2 linked regions of the Neodiprion lecontei genome follow. The protein of the gene in region 2 interacts with the protein of the main gene of each other region in a biochemical or structural test. Links are inferred from orthologs where the notes say so. Each region holds a gene or a part of one and is shown on either strand. Other genes may lie near its edges.

Region 1 (8,247 bases), on a different chromosome or scaffold from region 2:
AAATCATAAAAATTTCAGATTGCAACAAATGTCTTGATATTTCCTGGTTTCTGTATAAGTGAGAAATGCAAACAAGTAGGATACCTTCGATGTACCGATGTCCCATGTGATCTCTATCTCGTTTACATGCCTTCTCGATATCCTCTTCCGTGTCCATTTCAATGTATGCTTCACCGCTGGGTCTTCCTTCTCTCGACATAGTCATATGAATGCCGGCTTTGCCATGCGAAATGCTACAGTCGTTGAAGAATTTCAATATCTCATCGACGGTTGTGGACCAAGGTAGTCCTCGTAGTTTTACGACGTACCCTTCCTCGTCGTGATCGCCACTTCCGTTCGACATGCTGGTCTGAGTGGAAAGGGAATGAAAATTTGAAACACGAATATGAAAAATTGTAGGGTAAAGAGGTTGCCTTAGTCGATTTCGACGTTATCGGAAATACGTCCAAATATCAAAGTCCACGTATCGCAAGTGCAAAAAAGGGTTTAACAGCCCCATTCTATACGTAATTCTGAACAAAAACACCCCGAAACATTTTCATTTGACACAGCAGTAAAGAAACGGCTTGAATTCTATGAATTTACTGTTACGATTTCATAGAAACCGTACCATTTCTTTACTTCTGCCTCAGGTCAAAATTTATTGCGAGTTTTTATTCAAAACTGTCTATAGAATGAGGCTTTTAAACCTCTTTTTGCATTTCAGGTACATGAACTTCGATATTTGGAAATATATACGTCAACAACGGAATCGATCAGGGTACCTTGATGAAAAATCTGTGATATGATTACTCATCAAATTGAAAGTTTAACTCACATCTTACGATGCTTGTGAATTTTTTTCATCAAACTCATGTCACTGTTACCAGCTGATTAAATAAAAGTTACCAGCTCACTGAATAAAATTTCAGAAATAAGTGTTTCAAGCTAATCATGTGATAAAATTTTTTATTTTGAAAATCGGTATTGAAACATAGAAATAGGCTAAACTTGGTGGCCAATTAGACTAATTTTACAACGATATGAAAATACACAGTCAATTGTTATTGTCTTGGTTGGTCAATTTTCAACTGCTAAATGACATGAAATGGAAATAATGGTCAAAATTGATTCAGCGTAGTGGCCAGGCGATTTAGTGTATTGGGCGGTATAAAGTTCTTACTTTGCATAAACGCAATTTACGAGTTTAAATTGAAGTGTTGATTCTCGCGTCGAAGTGACGCTTGAGAAAATATGAAGGTAAAGATACGTACAAATGCATGCACGACGAATGAGCCGTAAGGCGATTATATTATACTCACGGTTTACGGTGATCGGATGGTATCAATGTGTGAGAAAGGAAAATGCGGCGATGGTACGTAAAATATGTAGATTTATTCTTGTCCCTCGACGATATTTATTCCGCACAAGAATAGTCCGGCAAACTTGCGCCTACTTCTTCTGTGCAAACGCATCCAACTCCGATTAATTTGCAAATGGCGATGTTCGTTCGTTGCGCATAGACAATTAAGAATATATATAGATTGTTCGCTGCTCTACGACTCCAAGTCACAACTCCAGTAGTGACATCTTAGAGAAATGGGATAATTTTCGAGACGCATGACGATAACGGACTACTACTCTGCCGTATTTTAGCATCACGGAAGCAGTGGATGTTTGTAATTTGTCCGGTTGCGACTACTGATTTTCGTAAATATGTGTTGTACCATTCACTGCTTTGTCATCCTTATGTTGTAGTTATGCAGCAATTTTTTTTTCAATTTTGCTTGGAAAGTTCAATGTTTGAATCCTGTTGAATGTGGCCCTTCAATCTTCCGGCTAACTCGTTTTCAGCCTAAAAACAAAATGCAACTTCGATTCTATATGAATTTTGCAACAAATTAATCGACACAGGGTGCGTTCCTGAATCCCTCTATCGCAACGACACTCGTGGTCACTAGGCGAAACGGCCGGTGCTTCAATAAGAGGACATACCCCCATCACCAGAGTTTCCAGACCTGAATGTAAGACCGTGGTTTCATGTTCTGTTTAGTGTTGTCTGGTTCGCTCTGACTCCGTCTGGCGCAGCGAGGGCGGTCCTGTCGACTGCTCGAGGAACGAATCATCGCGGATTGCGGAGTCAAGGAGGGCCACTGAGGAGGGCAGCAGTTAACTCAACCGAACCGAAAACATCTGTGGACACACCAAAAAACTGAGGATATTCCCATGTTTATCGCTGTCAAAGTTCCATGCGCATTTCGATCAGCGTGATACCGTACTTTTTCACATAAATATCAAGGGAATAGTTGGAATTTCTCACATAGTCAAACAAATAGCTGATCAAAATATCTCCAACGATGAGCTTCCTGTTGTGAGTACTACTACACTTCGGAACGGCCTTTCTTTTTCCTCTATTTTTATTTTTATTTTTCCGTATTTCAGTTAGTCACTTTTTTACAACACCCGAGTACACTCACGCTGACGAGAGTAACACAAAAAATCGAGTTGACAATAGGCCTGTTGTTATGTATACTCTTTATCAATTCACCTATAAATATACCTATGCCGTTTCGTCCCCAAATCGATATTTTATCCGTTCTAAAATGCCTCATTGTATCGTATTTGACAGCTCTGTCTCGCTTTCTCTATCTCACTTCCTCTCCCTCTCTGTGCCATTTCTATTTCATATTATTGCCATTTAAAGTTTCTGACCTGCACTTCGAACAGAAAATTTCGAAACTAAGTTCATGACAAAGTGATCTCTGGTTTGCATAGTGTTTTTCATACTTCTTTATACGACCAGTTTGTTAAATAGACTAGATGTTATTTTCAATTAATCAGAAACAATTCTTTGCCTGTTTCTTTTTATTTCATATCATGTATTTTTCAATAACTTAGCGGAAGCCGATCTTCGAAAACTTTCAAGCCAAAGAAGAATATCCCTGAAGGGACGCACCAGTATGATTTAATGAAACATGCAGCGGCGACACTTGGCTCAGGAAATTTACGTCTGGCGGTGATGTTACCCGAGGGTGAAGATCTCAATGAATGGGTTGCCGTTAACAGTGCGTAACTTATCTTCTCTGAAATTCATGAATGAAGGCAATCTGGACTCGAGTCACTTCGCATTTTCATGTGTTTGTCAATCAAACCCACCAATTTGAATTATACTTTGGATTTTTATTTGAAATGATAGATATTATTTGAACGAAGTCATGAGTTGAATTGGAAAATTTCAATGATATCTTATTACCTTGTTATGTTTGGGATGAAATCAGGGCCGAACCATTTGATAAAAACTTTTATATTTCGATTGCAGAATGCCCGTATAGTCAAACTTTGGAGATTTTGTGCCCAATAAAAAACTGCATCGTGTCTATAAAAGACGGGATACATGATTTTTGAATTAATTAACTTAAGTAATCACCGTTGCCAGTTACAATATCAGTTAGGATGCGACAAACCTACAGTTCAGTTATGCATTGGCTATAAATTTGTGTTATCTGCTTTTAATTATGAATCAGACTTGAACAACTTCCTCTATGTATAATCGCAGTGTAAGTATGCGAGTAGTCTGAATCATGGAATACGATTCTACTACAGATGAATATATAGTTGGATTGTGTGTAAATTCACGTATTACATTAAAATTCATGAATTTGTTTGGTATTTCGAAGCCATGCCAATCTGAAGTGGACAACATAAATCTGAATTATTGACAATGAATAACATTCTGGGTTTAAATTTGTATCGGAATATTTTTTTTCAGCTGTCGATTTTTTCAACCAAATAAATATGTTGTATGGAACCATTACGGAGTTTTGTACAGAAGAGAGCTGCCCGATTATGTCAGCTGGTCCGAAGTACGAATATCATTGGGCCGACGGCCACACTGTGAAGAAACCAATCAAGTGCTCTGCGCCCAAATATATTGATTACCTAATGACTTGGGTGCAGGATCAATTGGATGACGAGACTCTGTTTCCATCAAAAATTGGCTAGTATTCTAAGTATTGGCTAGCTATTAATCATCACTAAAGTATATATTGTTATGAGCGTTAGAGTTGCGCATACAGAAATTTTACTTTTAATTTTAAATTTGTGTTAACGGATCAAATTTACTACACTTTTAGGAGTGCCGTTTCCAAAAAATTTTCTCTCAATTGCCAAGACTATATTAAAGCGCTTGTTCAGAGTCTACGCACATATTTATCACCAGCACTTCAGTGAGGTTGTTCAACTGGGAGAAGAGGCACATCTTAACACATCGTTTAAGCATTTTATTTTTTTCGTTCAGGTAAGCAAAACCACGATATAAGTATTAATATCGTGAAGTCGTTCTTACAGTTTAGAATTCAGTGCTTATTATTCAGAGACACGGATCTCTTTTCTGAGGATGCATGTGTATGACTAATTCGGTTTTACACTCAACTTCAACTTCATTGATTATCAGCCATTAATTATACTATCATATTTTTCGCAACCTTGACCGAATTTTTATTTAAAGGCTATATCTCACTAACTATACTTTGCACTTGTAAACCAGTTCTGCATGTAAGTATATTAGCTAGGTACGAATTTTTTTTTAGTAATATCAAGCACTACAAACCTTACCGCATTTTCGGAATAATACATGATATACAAGTGGCCTTTTTTGCAAAATTAATACCTAAATATTAGTGTTATTATCTTGAATATTTCAGAGAAAACGCATTCGTTACATAAACCGAGAAAATTTTGGCTCCAAATTAAAAAAGTGTAATTCGATTTTGGTGTAAAATTGGAAAAATTGTACAGTAAGAGCTTCTTTTTGGAGAGTTTTACAAGTTCTTATATTAATAAAGTCACATACACTTAATAAAGTTGTTTGGCCAACTTTATATTAACAATAATTTCGATATTCTGGCTCCCATTGTATTGTGCAAAATCATTCTATGCATGTAAACTGTATTTAATTCAGCTGAGAAAATTCAGTTTCGACATCATGATTATTGTTTCTAGGAATTTAACCTAATAGACAGACGAGAATTAGCCCCATTACAAGAGCTAATTGAAAAACTGACTGCAAAGGATGCTCGATGAACACCCTCCACTCTGATCATCGTCTGTGAAGCCTCTCCAAAGAATCTCATCAATGCTATCTCTGTTAACTATCTATCATATAATAATTATTTTATATTATTTAAATAATCGTATCGAATCATATTTCAAAGCAAGTCTAATGCCGAGTCAAAAGCCTTCGTACGGCTACTCTTCTTCATTATATTGCAGTTTAAACTGTGATTAAAGCTTTTTCAACAACAGTAATTAGTTTTGTGCACAGTTCGCAAAACATTTTTTTCCATTGATCTAGTGGATGAGCTTAATATCATGTGAAAGCATTTGGTGGAAAACAATATAATTCACTCATAATAATTGAACCCCAAATGATGTGCTTCGAACAGATAATAAGTCAATAGGTAAAATTTCAAGACAAAATTGAAATGTGTGAATACCTATATAAATTATTGTTAAATAGATGAATTATTTTCAACGTTACGCTGCTTAGAATTGTATGAACTTTTTTTTATATTTATTTAATTTCAATTTTTTTTTTTTTGTGCTGTTGAAAGACATCTGTGTAAGTTTCTTTATCATACTATTAGTTGCAAATTTTTCTTCAATTCTTAGTCGTTGAATTCAATTAAATAATGAAAACAGTATAATAAAATTTCCTAGCATGTAATGTTTATTGCTGTGGAAGGTAGGCTGTAGACAAAAAGGTGATGATTTGTACTTCAAAACAATTTTCATAAGTTAAATAATTTTATATTCAACTTATCGATATACGTGGATATAAAAACCGATTTGAACTTCATTGCAAACATGAATCGTCATAGAATTTCAGAATAACGCTTGAGTCAATCTCGTATGTATTAAAAGAATATTATGCGACCCTTTCGTTAGTGCTTTTTTGTCTCAGACGAAGAAAAATTTTAAAAATGCCTTGAAATAGGTGCAAGTAATATTATCCGTGTACGTCTAACAATATTAGATATTTGTTACGTAGTCTATTATCAATTATACGGCGAAAGTATACGGCAGAGAAATAATATTGAATGTGAAACATTGCACCGTGTTGACTATATAAGGGTATTAATGTAATTTATATTAATAGTTTTTATATTAAACACTTATAAAACGATCGATCTATAGAAATACTAATCTTTTTAAGAAAAATACGAAATGAAAAAATTAAGAAATTCCAAAACGATACATGAGAAGAACTATACTCAAAAGTAGAGTACAAGTGGATCAAAGCCAGAATGTTTGCATGACCTTTGTCACGTAGTTAGCATTGTTTACCGTTTTCAATTGGAATGGTATTGTCAATCTGGACAATGTGTAGAATAAATAAAACAAATGATCTTGAGCCAGATGGTGTATGAACATCTAGGAAAAATAATAACAAGTACTGCATACATAAATTGAATCTTGTGGCAACGATAACTTTGTTTCTTACTTTCTTTTAAATTCTATGTACACTGTATGTATTTCATACCGTTTATCTTAGTAAAATATTGAATTTAGAATTTTAAGAAAGATAGTCGTAAAAATAGACGAGATAAAAAGAAAGTATCTATTTAAGTTTTCATCTATTTTAACGATTAATCTTCATTGAAGAGCTTTTAAAGAGAATTGTTATGTTTCAGACATACAATGGGAACCAAACGTTGAAATCGTTGAGTAAGGCGACTCTGACGACGATTTCGTTAACGATCTAATATTTAAACAGCATGTGTATTATTAATAACTAACGTATAATCAACGTCCAGGACTCATTCCGCTTACCCTAATTTTTGCTCTCCCTCTATTGGGAATTTCTGTATATATATGCGACAAGCTAATTAACTGTCTGTATAGAAACCACGAAAAGAAAGAAGAAAATGAAAAAAAAAGTGCATACCGGTCTGTTTATGCTGAATTAATATATTTCGATGTATTCATTTCGATCATTTTTGAGAACTTATATTTTTTAAGAATTTACATAGAATACGTTTTAAGACAAAAAAAAAAAAAACAAAAACAAAAAAAACGAACAAATATTAATTTTTTACTTTTAGCTTATACATAGTAATTAAAAATATATATGCGTTATTCACTAATAACAATAATAATAGTAATAATAACAAGAACATCAATTATAATTGTTATCATTATTATTATTGTTATCATTATTCTTTGTACGGAAGATTTTCGTGTACATATTTATTTTTATGTTTTTGCTTGACAAATAATAATCAATTTATTTAAGAAGTAGTCCGAACTCAATGTCGTACCCACATCTATATACGTATAGATGAAGCAAAACTGCACACTATTCACTGTCTAATCTGATATTAGAATGTAAATGTTTTGATTTTCAGCTGAATATACGAAATACCGCTAATGCTAATTTCATTACGAACATTGAGTAGTATGAATATGGATTGCGTAGTTGCCACTGAAAAAAATTAAATTTAGATTTAAAAAAATTAATAAATAAAGCATAGTTTCATGTATTCATAACTGTAATAGATAGGCACATACATATGTTATTACTCACAATAATTCAGCGCTTTTCTTCTGAATCGACTTCTCATTCAACTGTCTTACTAAACTTATGTAATTATATACATATTCATTTGTGATATTCCGGCACTCCCAAAAATTACAGTGGAAATTTTTTGCCTCGTACGAGAGCATATCAGAATGCAATTTTGTAACGATGATGTAACGATACGGATAAAAAATCAATTGTGCGTTTGGTACTTATATTTTTCTTCGATTATTAATCTGCAGTATAAATAATAAAATCCTGACATGTTTCAGAAGTCTTATTGTTAAAAATATTTAAATCAATATGCAAAAACACATATCCAATAATATATACGTAGGTACAACATTCGTTTTTTTTTTTTATTAATAATATTACTGCATACATTTTACCAGCAGTAAATTTCCCGTACCATCAAGTAAAACAAATTTTTGTTAAAATTATGTCGAACCTGATTTTTTTAAATAGACGAACAGGATGGTGAAACGTTTTTATCTTTGGTACATGAATCTGTTACAGTGATTATATTGCGAAAATAGAGTTACAAACAACACCTGCGGAATACATGTAGAAATTTATTGAAAAACAGGTTTCCTGAAAATAATTTTGGTTGACTTTATGTTAACTGCCAAGGTATAAACCTTGTACAAGTATCGTTAAAATTTTACTGCCGAATAGAAATATTTATCAGC
Region 2 (4,818 bases):
GGTGGTTTGCCTGCAGATATTTGTTAATGTATTGCGGAAAAAGTCACAGTGAGAAATGGATTTGAAGTTATCATAAATTTTGTAATTCAAATTTTATCTTTGTATTGAAATGTTATGTTTGTGTTTATACTTGCAATGTTTCTATCATTGCAAGTAGGGCAAAAAAAACCATTGTGTTGCAAGGCACAGAATTTTGTAGTTTACACAATTCTGGTTGTGCTTTGTGAGTTCTCAAGAATTCCCAATTCGACGGAAAAAACTGTTAGAAATCAATTTTCAGCCAATAAGTTTTTCAGCTATAAAAATTGCAAACTCTTTTGATGTTTGACAAAATCTTGACCAATTTTGACCAACGTTAGAATTAATTGTTTCATATGCTATATCGATGTCACTTTGCAAAGGAAAACAGTTGCAAATGTTCTGGAGTCACTGCAATTAATGATTCAAAAGATACTGGGTTTGCGTGAGACTTTCTTTCAAAAGGTTACGACAATTTGAATCCCGTTTCAGTTCTATTTTCTATTGTAAATAATGTAGTTCAATTCAAAGTAAAAACGCATTATCTTTGTACATGTGTAGTTGGTATGGTCCAAATGTGAATCGCATTTGCGGTGTTCTCAGGACTATGATAGTGAAAAACTTTCAAATCGAATTGACTATTTATTTGGCGACCACCTTCGATTGACGGAATATTATAATAAGGTGGTTTTATTTATGATATAACAGACCCAAAAGAATCATACAACATTAGGGGTTTTCTCTCGAGCGTGTATTTTATGGAAGAAATGGAATAAAATTTTTGACCGATCATTCAATTGAACAGTAGAGTTAATGATTCTCGAACTTGTCACAAGTAATGACAGACGTATGCAAGATTCACGATATCCTCGAGTTTCATACACAGCTGTGGCATAATTTCATATGCAACTTACATTTTTAATTTCATTCTAGTAAAATTTTTAATCATAAAAGCGATGGACATGGTAAATAAATCATTATAGCATCTAACAAGATGCTTGCTCTCAGGTGCTAAGAATTGATGATATAATTTGTCAGTTTAAACCTGTTCAACAACCTGACAAAACAACACCAGCATGCATGTATGTGCACAAATGGTATAGAAAAAATTTAAATAAAGTAATTACTATATGAGATCAAAGTAAAGAGGCTAATAGGACTTTCAAATGGTTATAGACATAACGCTATGGATATTCGCATAGAAAGTGACTGAACACGAGTCACGCTGAGGTTACACTAGAGTATGGTAAGATAAGGATATGCTTTGCCTCTGTTATACAACCGCTCGATTTTATATGAATTGTTATATTCCGTTGCTATCTGAAACTCGAGCACACACATGAGGTTTGAATCATGCTTCTAGTTCCTATCGCCCTCAGAAGGTTAGAATACGAGTTTCACTTGACTTTGTCAAAGTTTAGGATGTTTTAGTAGGAATGGTATATGACTCCTGTGTGACTTCAGCATGACTTGCATGCTGTTATTTTGTCATATCAATATCAAAAGCTAAATATAAATAGAACTTGTTAAACTTCGATTAGATTTACACTAAGGACACATCATGAATTAAATATTAAATGATGAGTGTTATACTTGTTGCCGAGGTAAAATGTGTAAAACTTAATCATGAATTTTCGTGTACACAAAATCCATAATGAAAATATATATTCTCTCCTGCGATGCTTTGGTCTCCAGACGAAGAGTACTACAACTCCTAACGGAAGTAATGACAATGATGATACTGACGATGATGATGACGCTAATAAGAATAAGAATGGTAGATTTTATAAACAATGATGTAGAGTTACTAATGCTTACCAAACAAATAAGGCTAGCTAGTATTGTAATTCCTTAATGAAATCCTTCGCTGACATGGCAGTATTCAACACCAATGGTTTATTTTTTAGCACTGTTAAGAGGCACAATGGTAAGAAATTCTTGTGAACCAGTTTGTTGCCGATCACTGTACGTGGAATTTGGTACTTGAATTCACTTCACTGAACCAACTGTCAATGCTGTGCACTCTTGAAAATTTTAAAGGCTTACGATAAGATTCATTTGGAGGGTTGTAATTATTTGCAAAACTGGCTGCACCAAAGAAAATCAATCTCCAATAGGAGTGGCAAGTTACAGAGCGCAAGTTGTGCACACCATTGTAGCTATATATATTATTTAATTTTCTAGTTGAATACAGTTTCAAAACGTTGAGGGGATATTATTTCACTGACGAGTACGAAGTGCTAATATTTTATTACTGAAATGAAACAATTTCAATAAATTGTATATAAAGACATACATACACCACACTACCGAATTAGAGACTCGGTAATTTGCGAATTGATCGCCGATAACGACTAATTGTTTATGCCGCTTGTTAGTAGCCGTGCGTAGATTCTTTTGTAAAATATATAAAACCTCTTACTCAAGAATATCTTGATATAAATTCCTTTAAACCGAGAGTGATGCCAGCTGAGGATCGAGAGCATATTCCGTAGTCACATTATAATAGGGTTTATAGACCGGACCAGAAATAATTATAGAACGTTAGAGCAAACACTTTACAACGAAGAAAATAATTGAAACTGAGAAAACTTCGTCGAAATCATAAAAGCGATAACAAAGAAAGATACAGCCGTAAATTACTAAAGTGGCTGGCAGCCATTTTGAAGTGCCACATTCCTTCACTGACTTGACAATCTTTTTCACAATTTCTAGTACGTATATACATACACAAATTGTATATCAGCATTCCGTATTACAAATATTCATTGCAGTCGAAGTTGCAGTTATTTTTAACTATTTATAAGAACGATTCTTCGAAGGGCTTAACTCTATATCCAACAAATATGAAAGATTCATTGAACTGGCATCAATATCGGCGCTACTTTCGAATCATTTAAGGCTGGTAAGCTATTCCATTTGAATTCAACGGTTTAACTGGGTATCGGTTGTAAATCATAGATTTACGCATGCTCTGGATGAAATTAAATAGTATGCATTGGCAGATGCATCAAATTTACGAAAATAGGTATCCAATTCATGAAAGATAGAGACCGTGAGGGGCCTGGAGGAGCCGAACTCCACAGGCGTTGACTTTACAATACGCTCATGTCAGAGATTACCAACCTCGGATTACATCGCGTGACAGCTTTTTGGTGCACCAAGTTCGGGTCTGCTCGGGGGTAACTTCAGGTTTCTGCATTATCGTCGCTCTTACCATGGTTACTCGGTGAACCACACACAACTGGGTTTGTTCGTGCTAGCAACACTTTCTACACGTTTTACACCTTCGATCACTATATATTGTTAAAGTAGGAAAGTATGTGAAGGTGCAGGAAGCATTGGTAAAAAAAAAAAACTTCCTACCATTACCGATTTAATCATCATTGTAATCCTCATGAGTGAGTCGATAAGTGTGGGCACTGCTGTTACCGCCGGACTCTTGCTTGATTTCAAAAGATTACCGTCTGTGTTTACCAATCATTTACCAATGTGAGACTACGTATGTATGTATGTACATGCAATGCCTATGCATACTGCATTGCTCTCCGGACAGAGTGAAGCCCATGTGGACCCCTTGATCTGGGCCTCGAGCAGGCTAAGATAATATATACATTATTTTAGTTGGTGGAAGGTACCCGCATCTAAGATAATATATATTATCTTACCCGTATCGCCCTATTGCAGCGCCTCTAGCGGCTCAGAGGAAAAATATAACGCGTACGTGTAGCGTTAGTGAAGATGTGATTGCGTTAGTATTGTCGGTGTGATGACGCGTTGCTATAATCTTTGGGTAAACGTTGGATAACAAACAAACATTTTTCCAAAGATGCCAATTTATTGTGACGTCAAATTATGTTACAATTACAAATATATCAAAAATCAAAGCATAAATAATGGAGGACGAGTGACGTTTTTCGCGTTACCAAAAAAAGAGCAACTGTATGTAAGTATGAATATATAACCTCGCTTTCACGGGAATGTTGTGGGTCCCCACGTATCTTCATATATTATGAAAACAAATGTACATCATGATTTTTCATAATACAGGCGCAAAAAATGGCATGAGTTCATCCGAGCCAAGAATCCGAACCGGCGAGATTTTCGTGTATGTAACAAACACTTTGAGCCAAAATATATCTGGAAAAAATATCCACGATGTTTACTAACGTGTGATGCAGTTCCAACATTGAATGGACCTGTTGACGGTAATCATCGCCAAGAACAGCTGCATACAGAGTCTAAGGATCTGCAAATTTCGGCTCAAACAAGCTGTGTTGCGATAGCAGGTAAAACAAATCAGTATCATTGGCTCTTGCAAACAAATGCAAGCAATTGTTTTTGCATTTACATTAAAATTTTACTTATATTGAAAAATTTAATTCCAGACCAACCACACGTCAGCGGAATTCCATCGGATGATGTCATACCCTCAAAAGATGGACCTTCGACTACGCTGTATAAGGAAAACAAGAACCCAGATATTCGTGGTAAGATTGTAAAAAAGTATTGATAGGAAAATCAGCGAATGAATTTGTACATACATTTAATTTAATTAACTGGAAGTTCACTCAAAATTCAAGAGCAGGAATTTTCTGCAAATTGTACTGTTAGTTAAAATTGACATTTATTTTCTATTTATATTTACTATTTACAATCTATACACAATTGATATTCAAAATAAGCGTTCACTATACATATAAATAACCAAATCTGAACTTCCGAGTTATACAATCACTAAGTTTTGTACAAAACTTGAAAATGAATTGAAATAAAATATACAAAATCACCAACATTAAT

What was found.
Region 1: of the proteins of serine/threonine-protein kinase Warts (region 2) and MOB kinase activator 1B, one has a biochemical effect on the other in vitro, tested with the Drosophila melanogaster proteins (2 studies listed by BioGRID). The link is inferred for Neodiprion lecontei from reciprocal best matches to the Drosophila melanogaster genes wts and mats.

What each region holds. Positions count from the first base shown.
Region 1 is NC_060266.1:18,783,887-18,792,133, forward strand, and holds the start of MOB kinase activator 1B, read left to right. Parts: upstream 1-2,042; 5' UTR 2,043-2,336; coding exon 2,337-2,350; intron 2,351-2,877; coding exon 2,878-3,044; intron 3,045-3,748; coding exon 3,749-3,976; intron 3,977-4,112; coding exon 4,113-4,276; intron 4,277-4,980; coding exon 4,981-5,061; 3' UTR 5,062-8,247. Other genes in the region: heterogeneous nuclear ribonucleoprotein H, read right to left, coding at 85-343. UniProt on the Drosophila melanogaster protein: Coactivator of Warts (Wts) kinase in the Hippo/SWH (Sav/Wts/Hpo)signaling pathway, a signaling pathway that plays a pivotal role in organ size control and tumor suppression by restricting proliferation and promoting apoptosis.
Region 2 is NC_060260.1:180,937-185,754, reverse strand, and holds the start of serine/threonine-protein kinase Warts, read right to left. Parts: upstream 3,111-4,818; 5' UTR 2,441-3,110; intron 2,273-2,440; 5' UTR 1,837-2,272; intron 1-1,836. Other genes in the region: uncharacterized protein LOC107221828, read left to right, coding at 3,963-3,964, 4,069-4,307, 4,407-4,508. UniProt on the Drosophila melanogaster protein: Negative regulator of Yorkie (Yki) in the Hippo/SWH (Sav/Wts/Hpo) signaling pathway that plays a pivotal role in organ size control and tumor suppression by restricting proliferation and promoting apoptosis.